3 linked regions of the Caenorhabditis elegans genome follow. The protein of the gene in region 2 purifies or fractionates together with the protein of the main gene of each other region. This does not show direct contact. Each region holds a gene or a part of one and is shown on either strand. Other genes may lie near its edges.

The links. The genes of interacting proteins can lie anywhere in the genome.
Region 1: the proteins of zyg-11 (region 2) and cyb-1 purify together in Caenorhabditis elegans (affinity purification with western blotting, with the first as the bait; one study listed by BioGRID). This does not show direct contact.
Region 3: the proteins of zyg-11 (region 2) and cul-2 purify together in Caenorhabditis elegans (affinity purification with western blotting; 2 studies listed by BioGRID, with this or other methods). This does not show direct contact.

What each region holds. Positions count from the first base shown.
Region 1 is NC_003282.8:10,733,621-10,737,848, reverse strand, and holds cyb-1 (G2/mitotic-specific cyclin-B1), read right to left. Parts: upstream 2,408-4,228; 5' UTR 2,394-2,407; coding exon 2,334-2,393; intron 2,292-2,333; coding exon 1,873-2,291; intron 1,794-1,872; coding exon 1,407-1,793; intron 1,361-1,406; coding exon 1,258-1,360; intron 1,214-1,257; coding exon 1,097-1,213; 3' UTR 676-1,096; downstream 1-675. Other genes in the region: grl-21 (Ground-like domain-containing protein), read right to left, coding at 21-356; orc-5 (Origin recognition complex subunit 5 C-terminal domain-containing protein), read left to right, coding at 3,271-3,414, 3,492-3,631, 3,674-4,010, 4,056-4,228. UniProt on the Caenorhabditis elegans protein: Essential for the control of the cell cycle at the G2/M (mitosis) transition.
Region 2 is NC_003280.10:8,015,831-8,021,453, forward strand, and holds zyg-11 (Early embryogenesis protein zyg-11), read left to right. Parts: upstream 1-1,849; 5' UTR 1,850-1,861; coding exon 1,862-1,958; intron 1,959-2,001; coding exon 2,002-2,238; intron 2,239-2,281; coding exon 2,282-2,902; intron 2,903-2,954; coding exon 2,955-3,249; intron 3,250-3,298; coding exon 3,299-3,928; intron 3,929-3,974; coding exon 3,975-4,313; intron 4,314-4,370; coding exon 4,371-4,551; 3' UTR 4,552-4,955; downstream 4,956-5,623. Other genes in the region: hda-2 (Putative histone deacetylase 2), read right to left, coding at 5,088-5,623.
Region 3 is NC_003281.10:13,685,706-13,692,772, reverse strand, and holds cul-2 (Cullin-2), read right to left. Parts: upstream 5,123-7,067; coding exon 5,094-5,122; intron 5,043-5,093; coding exon 4,899-5,042; intron 4,157-4,898; coding exon 4,096-4,156; intron 3,962-4,095; coding exon 3,822-3,961; intron 3,660-3,821; coding exon 3,554-3,659; intron 3,332-3,553; coding exon 1,658-3,331; intron 1,164-1,657; coding exon of another isoform or gene 1,158-1,163; coding exon 1,065-1,157; intron 805-1,064; coding exon 676-804; downstream 1-675. Other genes in the region: cyn-2 (Peptidyl-prolyl cis-trans isomerase 2), read right to left, coding at 1-41; WD repeat-containing protein dyf-2, read left to right, coding at 6,328-6,339, 6,397-6,485, 6,878-6,943, 7,016-7,067. UniProt on the Caenorhabditis elegans protein: Core component of multiple cullin-RING-based CBC (Cul2-ElonginB-ElonginC) E3 ubiquitin-protein ligase complexes which mediate the ubiquitination and subsequent proteasomal degradation of target proteins.

The sequences.
Region 1 (4,228 bases), on a different chromosome or scaffold from region 2:
GTTACTTTCAAATGCAATACCTTCTTGATAATATCTCTAACTTCAACACTATTACAGAACAAATCTCCACTTGAAGCTTTCATGTCAACTGATCTCTTTGACTTGGCTCTGTATGGTCCTGGTCCGTAGGATCCAGCATAAGATGGTCCAGCGTATGATGGTCCACCCGCATATGATGGTGGTGGTGGTGGAGGTGGAGCTTCATATCCGCCTCCGCATGGTGGAGGTGGTGGAGGTGGTGGACAGCAGCATTGTTGAGGTCTTTGTGGACCTAATCCTAAACCGAGTCCTTCTAGAAGGAATGCAGATGAAGAAGCAGTCAGTGAAAGAACAATTAGAACTGATGAATGAACCATTTCGAGTGGAATGTATGAAATTCTCGTTTTCGATGGTCACTTTTGTAGTCATTACAGCAGAGCGTTAGAGATTGATACGCAGAGAAATTGCAGCTTCATTATTACACATTTTGAGAAAATTCGGCGAGAAGTGACCGCCAGTGCTGTAACAAACCGATGAGTAATTGGCCGAAAAGCCACTTGACCCCGGGTTCGGCACACAGAATTCAAGGTTAAAGTGGGTGGAGCCTACTTGTTTTTATGCTTGTTGACTGGTTTAAGTTCGTCGCGTCATTGCGCAGGAGACCCCCTAGAACCTTCAGACTACTCCATCACTTATTTAGTACATGATTTATAGTAATTCCATTTAACAAAATTTAATAGCACATAGGTTTCATCAGAAAGTTTTTGGTCCTTCTAGTTACAACAACAGAGATGAGGACGGTGAGTCTTACAGCAGTGTGGTTTCAATAATTAAATACGAGATCGATACAAAAGAGGGCGCGAAAAGTTGTGATAAAAATTTTTAGTGAAATTTTAAATTTCAAAATGGACAAATTGAATAATATGGGAGGTGGTGTATGGTCGCTCAACGAATGTTCACCAATTTACAATCAATGTACGGGTGTGACCAGATTGACGTGGAAACGACTGGAGGAGTTAAAAAATGGAAAGGAGCCGAAAAGAAAAGCAATGAAGGAAGAAACATAAGAATCAAGAAAGACTGAATGGTACAAAATGTTTATTTCGGATCGAAGTGCTCATTCCATTTCTGATGCGTCCACTTTTGCATTCTGGCCCATCCGATTGATTTTCTCGAGTACGTCGTCGGTCATCAAGTTGGAAACTTGTGCAAGCTTGCTTGATTGATACTTATTCTGCAAATAATTATGTTTATTGGAATACTTCGATGATTCAATACCTTAATAGCGACAAGCTTCCCCTGTTTGAAGTTCTTATACGAGACTTCGGCGAGCAAAGCGACAGCATCCTCAATGACTTTCTTAGAGGCTCCGAGCTGTTTGCTAAAAATGTTGATATTAAAATAAAAATATAAGCTTTAAAATGTACCAAATGACCGATACAGCATTCTCCGCCTCGATTCCGTCAACAGGATGAACTTCAAGAGCGATGATCATCGAAGCAGAAGCAATGTGGGACCTTGGGGTCGAGGCCATAACCGAATCGAGCAGTGCGAGCTCTCCGAGACACTTGGAGATATTGTAAGTATAACAGAAAGCTTGATTATCGATTGGGCTGGCATCGTTTTCGGAGAGAATTCTTGAGAGACAGCGGAGGAAGACAAGCGAAGATGGGCAGGACAAGTCAAAGTTCAACGAGTTAAGGATTGTTTGCTCCATTGCCAAGATCTGCTTCTTGCTGTATGTGTTCTCAGTGATGAACTCGTAGTCGTGGATGTCTGGGAGGTAAACCTCTTCGAACTTGGAGGCAACGAACCTGAAACAAAACATTTTTAAAGGATACACAATTAGTAATCCCTATATGTTACGTTTTAAAATTGAATAAAAACTCTCACATAGCTGAAATTCCAAGAAGCTGAAGATCCGCCTTGGAGGTGACCTTCTTCTGAAGCATGCGATCCAGAATGAAGACAGTCAAGTGAAGTGTCTCAGGTGTGAGATGGAATCGAACATGAACTTGGACAAGCCAATCGACGAGAATGCGACGCATCTTGGGAGTGGGCTCTCCTCCCTCCATGAAGCACTCCTCAAGAAGATACTTTTTCTCGTGATGAACGAGATACTTGTATATGTCGTCGGCCATAGCAAGACATTTAGTCTCAGCATCCTGGAGGTTGATTCTCTGTGACTTTTGCGCAGTTTCGACTGGAGCTGGATTGGATGGCTTGAGTGCAAGAATCTCTCGAGCTTCTCTTTTCGTCTGAAGACCTTGCGCATTGACGGGCTTCAATGGTCCGTTTCCGTGCTTAGCCATCTGAATGATAATTATAGTTTTTAGTTTGTAAACACCTTGTACCTGGAGGCTATCCTTTTCCACATTATTCGATGTTCGTCTGTTGTTGGTGGCTCTTAGCATATTGAGGCCTTTCGCTGCAATAAACGATTGTTTGCAAGTTCCAAGAGATAATAAAATAAAAAGTGAGAAAGAACCTTTGATTGCTAGTAGAAAATTGGTAAGTTGAGAAATACTGGACGTTTTACAAAATCTGACAGAAAGGTTATGATTTTATCTAAATAGAACACAACGTGTAAATAGTTTCTACACGGCGAACATGTTAAGGTCACGTGAGGAGCCTATTAAGAATTGTTTGCACTAAATACAAGAATATCGACAAATGGGATTCGAATGTTCCGCGTGCAGCGATTGTCCAACGGAGCGCAACTCCCCCACACCAAGATGGTGCTTGGTGGTAGGAGGGGGGAATCGCGAAGGGTAATATCGATTAAATATGTCACCTAGGATGAATGAAGAACAGACGTTAAAAGATGAATTACAAATGAACCTAGAATATTAATAAAGCTCCAAAGTTAGGTATTTGATAACGATAAGCCAAAGAAAAAAAGATTGTTTTTGTTCAAGAATCGAATAATGAATAAAATGAACCGGTCTATGTGGCAAAGATTCAAATAGGGAAACCTGCGTTGGAAAATAATCGTTCCATTGAAGGTTTTTGCAAAAAATAAATTCTTGGCGCCGAAAAATTGAGGGAGATCCGATCAAAACTTTAATAATCGCAAAGTTTCAAGAGCAAATGATTTTATTTTCAAGGTTCGCGCTGCAATACGACACTCCGTTATTTCGCATCGCGCTTAGTTTAGCCAAGTAAACCTGCTCCATTGAATACCCGCCAACTTGAAAACAGTTTTTACTGGAAGAAAGTTTTTTTTGTTTTTATTTCAAGGCTGAAAAATCAGTCATTTTATCCATATCATAGTTTTTTATTTTTAGCAAAATGGAAAATTGTGAGATAAGACGTCTAAAAATGCTCTTATTTAACAACTCGCGAATTATTTCTCATGTCCACATTTTCGGAGAAGATGGAAGCGGAAGAAGTGAAATTGTTCGTCAACTTCTGAGAAAACCTGAAAACGATTGGGTTCGTGTTTTACAACTTCAATTTCAAAACAATTAAAAATTTCAAACAATTTCAAAATTCACAATCTATTTTTATAGGTTTGTGTGCTTGGAGACTTCCTCTATGCGGATGGATCGCTGAAATTGTTATTCGATTCACTGGCATCGAGTTTAGGTTTCAAGACTAGAGGTGACAGAGCTGAGAATTTTTGCGATAACCTGTATAAATATGTCCAATGGTAAGTGTATTTTCTTGTTAATTAAATTTTAAATATTTTCAGGCCAGACGAAACTAATAGAAAAATTGTCATTTTTCTTGATAATGCACAAGCGATAACAGACTATCCTCCTGTTCCATTACAATGCTTATTCGATTCTTACAAAGCTATACAAGAAATAACGATTCGATTTGTGACGAGTGCACCATCCTGCTTGAACCAATATCACATTAATCTGAGCCATCTTCCAGTTGTAGAGTTTCACATACCTGCACCATCAGTAGAAACTACCAAAGTTCTTATTTCTCGTGCAAATCCAAAAATCAACGCGCAATTTCTTCACGTTGCTTGCCAGTCACTGTTCATGGCCTGCAAGTCACCGAATATTCTTCTATCAATTGTAAGTTTTTTAAAAACAATGTTAAATCCATCACTACAATTCCAGATATCTGATGCGTGGCTAATGTATGATGAGCGGAGAACCGGCGATAAATTCGACTCTACACTGGCAAAAGAATGCCTCAATAGATCATCTGGAGAAAAGCTCGGGAATGTTGTCGGAGAGAATCTGGCCAAGGAGAACGAGAACAGTTTTGATGCCATGCCGCTCGCCATGAG
Region 2 (5,623 bases):
CTAGACCAGCTGACTTCTCAACTCTTCGGTCATTGCTCTTTTCGTGTTCATTTTGTTACACTTGTACTGCGTGCACATATGAAGATGAATTGGCAACGAATTGTTTGCAAAAGAAGTGATCGGAAGCTTAACTTTTCAGTGTGTGGAGCAGTACAAATACCATGTAGCTTTGTTTTAACTTGTAAGAGAAAAAAAGAGATGAGTAGGCTGGTTATTTCCAATGATTTTGAGATATTTCATGCGAAAAAGTTTACTTTCATCGATCTCACGAAAAACTTTGCACAACTCTCCTGATCTGCAACCAGAAAATTCGTTGTCCTTTCTGTTTTCTTTCTAAATTTTTTTTCTATTTTCGCTTGCCGTCATTATTATTATCCAACATTCGAGAGTATTTAGAGAAAATGAGAGAAAAAATGTGTGCTTTCTTTACAATTGACAGGAGAGAGAGACGTCGGGGAAACCCTCTTCTTCTGATTCTCACCCATCCCGTTATCATGATCACATGACACTTCCCTCCACTCCGGGGTTCCCCGTACTGAATGTAATCAGTTGGTTGGTCGACTACCCAGTCGACGGTGAAAACTTCACGCGAGCATCGCAATTTTCATTTATTTTTTCTTAACTTTTCTCGGTATTAACGCATTTTTTTCTTTTGTACGATACGATGCGACATGATTCAAGGTTGCCTCGATTGATTTTACTGAATTCAGAAGTTCAACCTGACGATTAGTAATTTTATTTATTTTATTCATCGGAAATACGATTAAATACTTAAAGCATTCTCAATATAATTTTATTGACCGTTGACACTCACATGTGAGTTGAGTTGATTTTTAGAAAAGAGACGTAATGGGAAAAAACCACGTGTAGTGTTATCAGCCATTCTCGAATGTCGTTGAAATTGTGCAATACCCGGACAACCACAATCCAGCGAACAAATTGATAATGATAGTTTGAAAAATTGTGTCAACTTATTCAAATTTGCAACAATGTTTAAAAGTGCGTAGATCATGTCTGCGTCTCATCGGGAATGTTGACCGCCTGATGTGCGTGCGCATTCGAAACAATTATCATCGACGTTTTCGAATTATTTTCCTCTCGTCTTCTCGGCATGCGTTTGCGTGCAATCATACCGAAGAAACGGTATAGTATACTGTTCAATCAGTTAGTCACATGTAATAGTTGAAAGGGGTTCCCCATAATGACATGTGATCTTTTCTTCTTTTTCCTTTTCTTCGTACTGTTCTCATGACGTAATGTTCTCTTGATTGAAAAAGAAGTCGTTGTTGAAGGAGAATTGAAAGAGATGCAGAAAAACAAATTATCGATAAATTTTCTGTTGCTATTCAATAAGATTTTTCAACAGTAAGGATGTAGTTTGTAACATACGAATATTAACATATCTTTGCACCCCGTATTAAATCTAATTGGAATTAATTTTTTATGTATCAGCAAAAGATGAAATTTTCGACCGTCTAATAAAAAAATCATTACTTTTATTTTAATATTACTTGTTGCTTAAAAATGCATTTTCGCTCCAATGACATGGCCGAGGACCGTTTAAGGCCGACGTTAATATGCCCATCGTCCAGTGTCCCATACTCTTTTCTACCTCTCCTTTTTCTCTTACTTTCATTTTCTTTGTGTAAGTGTCTGGAACCAGTCTGCTCCTTCTTTCTCATCTATTTTCACCCTCTCACTTTACTATTTGTTCTCATTTTCTATAAATTGCAACCTACATAGTAACTCATAGAGAGTCCCACTAAATATTTATTTAGCCCTCATTCATCAGGCACTTCGATCTCTCTTTACTTTTCACTAATAAAGTTAATTTTACTTTTAATTTCAGATTTCATCTGATATGGATCACAATGCAGCTCTGACGACATGCAGTACCTCGGCCATTCCGAGACTTGCGAGATTGGCGACTGAACGAATTGCTGAGCTCATCGAAAATGGTAAATTTATTGATTTCGGCATTTATGGAAATTAAAGTTTCAGATGCTCTGCCAGAGTTTGATCACAAGGTAATCGCCTCATGCAGCAACGATATTTTTGAAGTTCTTCGCCAAAAAAAGAAACTCAATCATCAAACTTTGCAAACGATGTGCAGTACCTCACGATTCCAAATCAATAAAATTGATTTGATGGGCAACAAGGTTGAGTTGCAAGATTTGGAGCTTTGTTCGAACCAGAACCTGGTTTCATTCCGACTTGGCGATATTGATTACTTTCCAAGTAAGCAGTTTTTGTTAAAACATTTTAATACATTTTTTTTCAGATACGAACAAAATTCAAGTGGCTGACGTGCTTGATACGGCACTCAACCGAACTTCACGACAACAGCTTCGACATCTTGATCTGAGTGGACGACACAGAATCACTTCAAATTGGCCGACGTATGTAGCGAGAAAACTTCCTCGTCTGGAAAGTCTTGCTTTCGCTAACAGAAGCACTGCCAACGAAACTTTGTCACAAATTGGAGCGAGTTTGTTGAATCTTCGGTTCCTGGACATTTCGAGCACCTGTGTCACGGATATTTCTTGCATTTCAAGTCTTCGAAATCTCGAAGTCCTCATTATGTACAACCTGAACATTTTGAAAGGGGATGTCACAGAGACATTGTCTAATTTGACAAAATTGCGTGTATTAGACATTTCAAGAAAAGTCAACACAGACTATTTACAAGAAACGTCACAGGATGCTCATCTCGATTTGGCTCTTGGTATCTACAACAGATCTGTGGAAGCAATTGAGAGCGGGACAGCTACGCCTTGGGCGGAGCTAAGAGCAATTGATATGTCTGGTTTGAGCATTGTTCAATTTGGTACCGATCGAGCACTGGCATTTGTTGAGAAGATTATTGAGGCGCATCCGAAATTAGAGCAAATTAGCTTACTTGGTTAGTAATAGTTTTATTCTGGAAATGTAGTGTTTTAATTCTGAAATTACAGCAACTCCACTCGACTCGTCACTCATTGAGATTCCAAACAGAAATTTGCAAGTGATCAACACAGTCTCGAGAAGATCTATCATTTTTGCATTGTCCCATTATGCAAATCTGGACAGGCCTGCATTCATCACTCATGCTCTCCATTCTGTGTATTACCAGTTACAGTCCGGCTACGACAAGTTTTCACAGGAGGAGTTGAAAGAGTGTTTACGGCTTGTGTGTATCTCGATGCAGCAGGGGCTCAACACTTTGCCAGTGCAGATTGCGGGTAGTGCTTGTCTCTATCATCTTTGCAAGTACGTATTATTATTTTATAAATGTATTTTCCATGATGGAAACTTTCAGAATGAAGCGAATCAAGAGATTATCAGTAAAAGAAGTCAACAATTGCATTGAACGGTCACTTGACGCAGCAGAGCAGTATAGAAGCATGACGCAGCTGCAGAAGAACGTCTGGCTTACAATTTGTAATGATTATCTTCTTCATTTGGATGAAATTGATTTCTACCGTACCTGCAAAGTTGCTCTCGACACGATGCTTTTGAATCGTGATGCCAGCGTTGAGAGAATGACTATTGCAATTGTGTCGATTGTGACTCCAAAGATGCGACCATCAGAAGCAAAGATTCTAACAACTGAAACCAAATATGTATACCATCTTGTCAAAATCATGAATGATTATCTGGAGGCATATACTCGTGAACATCGAGTTGGACACGAACGAGACAATGAAAATGCACTGTATACTCTGAAGTTCACCCTGAGTGCACTCTGGAATCTAACAGACGAATGCCCGGCTACATGCAAAGCATTTTTGGATGCTGGAGGTGTTCAGATTGCGTTCAGAATTCTCAAAGCTTTTGATTATCATGGAAATGTGCAGACGAAGGTTCTTGGCATCCTCAACAACTTGGCCGAAGTGGAAGAATTGCATTTGGGACAGCTTTGCAAAAACGAGTATATTTCTGTTCTTATGTATGTTTTTTAATTCGTTGAATTCAATTTAACCAATTTTTTTCAGTTCTTGTCTTGACGGATCATTCAACGAAGTAGATTCGAAAGGACGGTATCGTGAAGTTGAACGATCTTATTTCGCTGCTGGAATTCTCGCTAATCTTCTGACCAACACTGATGGTTGGGAGAGTGAAAATCAACGTGACGAAGCTTGCGAAAAGCTCTTGGAGCTTATTGAGCAGTATCCCACACTTCCATCGGCAATGGTCTCCTACAAATCTTTCATTCCATTCAGTCGTATTGTTAGAGAGTCAAATTCGAATGGGGCCATCATGTGGTGTTTGTGGGGAGTTCATCACGTTCTTCAACATCGCGAGAAGAACAAAGCGCCTACGTATGAGAAAGGGTACGTTTTTGATTTACTTTTTTCTTAATTTCAAAAATCATTTCAAAACATTTTCAGATACATCGAAATGTTTATGGATTCCGGGCTTTCTCCAATCGTCGAGGATATGTCCCATGGACACTCGAAACACATTCACAATCTGGATATTCGTGTGGTTCATCTCGCACGAGAAATCATTGACATTGTCTCATGCCATTCACTATCTTCCAGCCCAGTTCGATTAGTCCGTCGAGTTTAGTCATTTTTTTGTTTATTTTTTTTATTATTATTTTTGTTTAGCTTTCCCATTTTCAAAGTCCCCATCTACAGGTATATCAAATTGAAACAAGTTATATTTATACGGGTTGATATTTTTATCCGTTTCACCCATAGCAATTAGATTGCATTAAAAACTAAATTAGATGTTTGGTTTCACTATTTTTCACTTCTCCCTGTAATATGTTGAACTGTGAATGTGATTACTTCTGTGGATATTTCATCGGTTGTTTCCATTTCTTTTTCTGTACCCATCCCTACTCACAAATTTGCTCGTCCCACTTTCTTTCGCGGGTATTTTTTCGGGAGTACCATTTCCTCCTTTATGTTTGAAATAGTTGTATATTTTCAGATTCTATTGTGAATGAAAACGTTGAAGCTCTGAAATTTGGTTTATTACTTGAGAAATTTAGAGATCATGCAACAGAAAACAATATAAAATCGGAAATACTGAAAACCAACACAGAAAAGATTTTTGACAAATTCATCACAGTGTTTAATCATTAATTACATGGAAAGTTACGGAATTCCGGGAATATTGAGATCTTTTCGTCTGTCGCGATCTTCATATTTTGCTTCTTCAATAACATCCGAGTGACTTCTCGGTGGAGCCAATCCAGACCTGTCATATCCCCAGTACTGACCAATCCGACGAGGATCTTGACCCGGTGGAAATGATGGAGGTTTTGAGTCTTCTTCTACAAAGCATTCTTCTTCCATTTTCTCTGATACTTTTCCAACTTCATATTCAATTGAAGATTTTGATGATTTTTGTAGTCGTTCATTTTCTTCGATTTGCTCAATTTCGTCGAGCCTGATTCCAACAATATTTTGCATTTGAACTGATGGTGCTCCACGAATCATTCTCAAACATGCCAGCGTTTCTTTTTCAATAGAAGCCAAATATGCCGCAGAATTAGCATCATTCATTTTTGGAACCAAATTTGGGCGAAGAAGTCGTGGAGTGAAATAGTGCGAGTATAATGATGTTCCAGGGATTTCATCGTCCATTCGAAGACCTAAAATGACTCCAGTTTCAAGGGCCCAGCATCTCG
Region 3 (7,067 bases), on a different chromosome or scaffold from region 2:
CCGCCAATCGTGATATCGAAGAACACTTTGACACGTGGCATCGCTGATCGATTCTTTTCGCAGTAATAAATTTAAAACTACCGACGTTCAAATTTTCCATTATGACTTGCCACGTGCCGTAAGAGTGTCGTGGATCAAAGTTCAAGTTCAAAAACGTGAAAATTTAAATGAAACAAAATTGGAATTTTGGGAAGGATAATTGTCTACTTTATCGTAATCATAGAGATTCCGGAGAAAAAATAGTTGCTTGAGGAGGGAGGATAGAACACAAAAAAAAGACAAATATAGTACATATACATTTTCAAGGAGAGGCTACGGACTGGTTGGTTTTATAGGCAAATAGCCGTTTGTCGGGAGTAACAGAGAATTTCCCGCGATTTTCAGTTTTTGAGGGCTCCAAAAGTATAAAAATAGGTATTCCAATAAACAGTTTGATGATTCCCCGTTGCGCAGCTCCAGCAAAAAATGATATAAAATATGTAAGATGAGGGGCGAGGGGATTTACTTTCAGTACAGTTCAATTTGGAAAAAAAGCAATCATTGTTAGAAAATCTTGAAAAATAAAATTATAGTGGGGATTTTGAATGGCATGTTTCAGAGTCATTTACACAGTGTAAATTTTAAATTTTAGTTTTTTGCCTCTCAGGGAAAAAACACGCAAATAGGGGGAGAGAATTAGGCCAAATATTGATACTCGTCATTTTGATCGGTTCGCTGAATATACATTTTCTCGATAAGGTCCTCAATGCTCTTTTTGATGAATGGTACGTCGGGCGAGAAGCGGCCTTTCGTTTGGTCCATTATCTGCAAGAAAATGTTGTTTTCCGCATTTTTGATGTGGAATAGCACATTTTGCAAAAAGATTTTTTTCGCTTTTTTTTGGGGGGTTCCGGACCAAAAACTGTTTCTAAAATTGTTTGTTTTTCTTTTTTGGAGGAAAATCCACTTTTTGATTTTCAGTTTCTTGGTTCAAAATTCAAACAAAAATATTTTTGTAAAGCATTTTCAGTCGGTTGAATATCTCGTTTTACAGGGTTTTGACCAACAACAAAAATCTAACAAACCTCAGTGACAAGTGCATTGTGTTTCAGAACCTTCCTGGTCTTCATAATTCTGACAATTGCGCACTCCATATAGTACTTTCGGTCTTGTGAAACCTGGAACTAATATTGACGATTGCGAGGCACACGTGTTTGGATAATCTAGCTGCATCGAGGCGGGGCCTAACTAAATACGTCTAGTCTCTCAGAATTCTAGGCCACAGTTTATAGCTTTGATTTAGGCTCATTGGCTCAAAAAGGGAGCAGATAAATTGTTTAATTGATTGAATTGACTCAAAGTTTCCACAAAAGACCAAATTTCATAGTGAGACATTTAAAAAAATTTTACGAAGGTTTAAAATTTCGAAAAAACACCTAAACTCTTTATTAAAGATTTTTCAGCATTTGAGATTTTAGTTGAGCTTGGCTTGTTTTAATTTCCACCGTCATAAAAATGCTGAGAATTTTTCAAGGTGTCTCATTTTAAAACTTGGTTTTTGAGATCGTTTAAAAATTTTTAAAGTCTAGGACTAAATAAAATACAGATTTTTAGTGCTTGAACTCAAAAAGTCATAACTTGAGGCCCTCGCCAATGAAAAACAAACTGAAAACCCTACAGTATTCGCGACGGCCTCCTGCTCCTTCTCGACAGCCTTATTCACTTGTGGCGCCTGAAGCCGGAACTTCATCCGTTTCGACGTCATCGACATGTTCAGACGAACCAACGAGTCGGCCGTTAGATTCTGATCATCACACGTCAGCAGGGTAACGTCCAAAATCGTTCGAATCGTCTTTAGCAGATAGTCACCGCTCACACCAATCTCCTCTCCGATGTCCTTAACGAGGATAGCATCGCGACGTTCAAAGCAAAGCAGCGCTGCCATCTGATAGACATACATCTGTGCGACATACTGCTTATCGAGGTATGTAAGCCTGACATCTCCCTGTGACATATTGAAAAGCCATGTCAGTTTTCGCCCGTTGTGCTTCCCAGTGTAGAACTTCTCAAACTCCTGAATCACAGGCTGCAGGATACGTGGCAGATGGAAGTTGGCCACGTCTTGTGCGGTCTGATTATTCGAATTCGTAGAGAGCTGTGGAGCGTTGAGCGGCCAGCTACCTGCCTGCAGAATCATCGTCTGTGTCGGCACAAACTTCACGTCGGGCTGCACAGTTTTAATGTCCGCAATGTGCTTATCAAAGTTGTTCGATAGCTCCTGGCTAAGCCCGATATCGGTGAACATTCGTGACAGTTTACTGGTGAATTCATAACCACACGCCTGTTTCAACTTGTTAATCATCAGCTCCTCGGCGTCCATCGATATCGATGTGCTTGCTATAAGCCGATTTGCGAGCATTTTCGAGTAGAACTTCTGGAATATATCCTTATCCTCTATATAGCGGAAAATCACAATTGCACTGTCGAGTTTCGCCTCCAAATCCGTCTCCGATAGTCCTTTCGTGGACTTTTTGAGCAACCCATCCGTATATCTCGCCAACCGCTCACTGGCCTTCGGCACCGACTGTCCTGGCTCCTTCGAGTTCACGACTCCCTGCAACGCCTTGTCGAGTCCACTAGAGAACTCGCCATCGTCCATGAACACAGCAGTCTTCATATCATTGAACTTGTTATACACCCGTAACACATTCTCCACAAATTGCTGGGGTACATTCTCGCCGGTGAGCCTCGACACCGCCTCGAGCCCCTTCTTCTTCACATATTCCTCGAACTCCTTAACCATTACCGAGAGTCCCGCTTGAATGGGCTTCAACAGTCTGTACATGTTGCGGAGGTCCTTGTTCTCCTCATTAGTAATGAGATCATGGCACACTGCGTGAAGTTTATCCTTGTGAGCTTTTATCATAACTTTCTGGCACAACGTGATAACTTTCTCCACCGACGATTCGTGGAGATACTTCTTCGCACGCATCTCTTCTTGTTCGAGGAGCACTATAACCTGTTCCATGTACTCACTGCAGCTGAGGTCGGTGAGCATTTTTTGTGCGAGCGCCGAATAGTACTGTTCCGTATCCGTAAGAAGCGGTTTCTCAAAGCTCTCCTGATAGAACGCCGTTGTCGACTCGCGAGCCTTATAGCGTGCTCCTTCTGCCGGTACAACGTCGAAATCCGTCTCCTCCATCTTAACGAAGCTGTTAATGACGCCGGAGACTTCATTGGCGATATGCGGGAAGTTTCCTTTCCGATCATTGTCAATCGCGATGAGCAGAAGTTTGACGAGCTGCGGGAGAATGGTCTTCACGAGGTCTTCTTTCCAGATTTCTAGTGCGAGCTGAAAATTTCGATTTGTTTTTTTGGTTCAAAACTTCTCAATTATTTAATAGTTATTTTCCAGGAACACAAAATTTTGAAAAAGCGCACTGTGGTCTTAACTGATAATCATCGGCCACGGAAGTCATCTCCGTGGCCTAGGATTTTATTTCCACCCACTTTTTCGTCGAAAACATAAAGAAATTTCTAAAAACCTGGCGCAATTTTTTTGTCGCAAACTCACACATCCGATCTCCTTGACGTCTGGAATCTGCAGAAAAGCGGCGTACTGCGCGAAATTGTCCAAATCGGTGCATCGCTTCTGTTTTACGAATTGTTTGTTCAGGTATCTGTAAATAATGTTTTTTTTTAATTCTCTTTTTTTTGGGTATTTTTCAATTCTTTTTCTTCTACAACGACGCAGTGAAAACGTTTCACAAAAATGCATTTTGGAGCATTTTCAGATCATTGTTTGAATTTTAAAAAGAATTCCGAAGAAATTTCACACGAACCCAAAGAGACGGTGAATAAAGATGGCTCCCTCATGGAAAACTCTCCACATTTTGTGATATTCCTGAAGCAACAGATCCGGATCAACATCGACGATATCTTGACGCTTTTGTCGAACATGCTCTTGAATGCAAGCCTTCACCTGTAAAAATGGAAATCTTGTAGTCTCATCACCAAATTCGCTAGAAAATCCTTTTTTATAGTAGAATCCGAAGAAAAAAGTAGAATTTTAATTTTTTTTTTCGGTTTTCGTCGAAAACGTCAAATTCGAGATACCTCATTATACAATCGCTCGCTCAATGGAGTCGGTATCGATACACAAATGTCGTAGACGTCACTGAAAACAATATTTAAAAAAATTAAAAATTTATAAAAATCCAGCTTTTCGTATCGTAAAGTTGTGATTCTTGACATTTTTCTTTGGAAAGTACAAAAATCTTTTTTTTTTTCAAAAATTCTCATGTTTTTTTCCCAGAAATGGATTTTGTTCAAAAAATACTACCAAAATGGTTTTAAAAAGTATGTTTAAGAGGTTATAAGATCATCAATCCGATTTTGCAACAATGTTTTTTTAAATCGATTTTTCGGATAATCCTGAATTAATCGGAAAATAAGTGAATGTTAGTGTTTTGGAGCAATTTTTTACAATTCTTGGAATAATGATTGAGTTTTTCAGTGAATTATACACGTGAAATAAAAAAAAATAGTTTTGTCAAAAAATTTTCGGATTTTGTGGACAAAATCCTCGAAAAACTTTTTTTCTCTGTCAAAAATCGAATTTAGGATTGTTGCTTACAAACAACGCGATTGCTGAAAATAACTTCAAAAATTGATTTTTTAAAACATAACATTTTTACAAAATCGGATTAATAACAAAAAGGTAATTTTTGCCTTATATATAAATAGTTTTTGCACAAAAACTTTAGATATTGGCCAAAAATCAAGACATTTTTGAACAAAAAATCCCAAAAAATCTTTTTTTTCAAATTAAAAATTCGAAAAATCTGTTGAATGACAGAAATGATACTTTCTGAAATTTCTATCACTGGAAAAAATCAAACTTTTCCTTCAAAACTTACCTAAACTTGTGATGCCACTGAACATTGGTGATCGGCCGCAAATTGATGATATCAATGATAGATGGTCTCAACTGCACCCATACTTTGTCAAATTCCACAACTTTTGGCTTCAGTGAGTACATAACCTGTGGACGAGGTGGACGACTGAAAATGATGACAATTTGTGCGAAATTTTCAAAAAAAAATAACGGGTACCGTAAGGAAACTTTTGTGGAACTTGCCATTTTTACGGAAAAAGCGAAAATTTTTGAAATGCGGATTAAAAAACTAAACACGAAAATTTAATTGATAAAAAGAATCACGTGATTTTAATTATTCTTTCTTTTTTTAATTCGTTCAATTATTTAATATTCAAACCGAAAAATGAGAAACCAGGGGTCATAAACCAAATAATATCGATCGATGCGCAGCAGACGCACTCACATTTTCTTCAATATCGGCTCAACGACGGGAAAATTGTCGTCAGAAATTGCCTTACGGCGGCCAAGTGTCGTACGATTCGATGTCGGCTGTGTATTCGACGCCAGTTTTGCCTGTGGACGGTGAACCTCGGACCGGTTTCCTGTGGAGGTTACACTGAAGATTTTCGGGGATATGGTGGAGAAGCTGAAATTTGATTTTTAGAGAAGATATATTGAAAAGAGATAACAAACGTTAAAAATATATTGAACGTCATATGTTAGAAGTTGGCAATGACAATGAAAAATGTGACATGTGAGAAAAGGAGGATTTTAAAAAGGAAATCTGTTTAGAACAAAAATTAAGAATAATTTTCTGAAGTCTAAAATTTAAAATTAAATTAATATTTGAAGTTATTAAAGGTGGAGTCGTTTTGGAATTTGATTATAAAGTTTTCTCTAAAAATTTTAATATTGAAAAATTAAAAAAAAGAATACCCTTTTGGCATTTTTGTGCATTTTTTGGCTAAACTTGGAATAAATGGCCAAAAACCAAAATAAAATCGGAGCAGTGCTACAGTACTAATTAAAAAAACTACTGTAGTTTTCGCTATGAGATACTTCTCAAAATTTAGTGTACCCGTAATGCTCTCCCATTACAAATGTATTTGCCCCAGATGTGTAAATGAATAATTTTATCAAATATTTTTGTTCGATATTCACATAAAAAGATGAAATTGCGGTTTGTTTTTTTTTCTCGAGAATCCAGAAAATTCTACTAATTGTCATTATTCCCAAACCGGGAATGATCAAATCCCCTCTTCCACTTCCCCTGTTCTTTCCTCAATTTGCGTGCTCAACACACACTGTGTAGCCCGGTTACCAAGGCAACAACTCCCCAAAGGCTCGGGTAGCTCAATGATTTGTACTTCATTTTTTGTAACCATTATTTGTAGGCTCGTGACATAAGTGACAAATCATAGGGGAGCAGTGGCAAACGTCGAAAACAACGGAGATCTTCATTCATATAAATGTCATTAAAGGTAATTCCGTGTACTCTCACAAAAAATCAGGAAGTATTTAAATGTGTTTCTGCTCAGCTTCAATATCGAAGAGGCGAAGAAGAGCACGGAAGTGGACCGATTATTCATCGATGGAGACCAAATGGGCATACTGTAGCTGTTGCATGGTTTGTTTATTTTTTGTTTAATTCTTATTTTTAACAGTATCTTTTTTAAAGATTTTTCTTTAAAATATTCAAAATTCAAAAACTCCAAAAAAGACGAAAAAAATCGAGAAAGAATTTAAAGCCAACTTTTAGAAGTAGGATTTTCAATTTTGGCTAATTGTCCTGTTTGATTTTTTTTCCAAAATGGGAGCTTCATGACCAATGCGTTTGCAAAGACCTTGATTGGTTTGAAAATGGGTGGAGCCAATCGCTGATTGTTCAGATTTTTGAAAATTTGAATTTTCATCATTATTTCTCAATTTATTATTATCGGTTCTGGAATTTCTGAATTTGAAGCTTTTTAAATGCATTTTAAAGCTGAGCTTTTCCAAGCAATAAATTATACTTTTCAGCGCCAATAACACGGTCATCTATTACGATAAGAAAGGAAATGTTATTGACGCGTTGAATCCAACTGGGTGAGTTCAGAGTTTTTTGAAATGTAAAGAAAAAAGAAGATTTTCGTGATTTACACTTTTTTCAACTTCCAGAAAACTTATCGACATAGCTTGGGATAAGGAAGGTGATGTACTAGCGATTGCC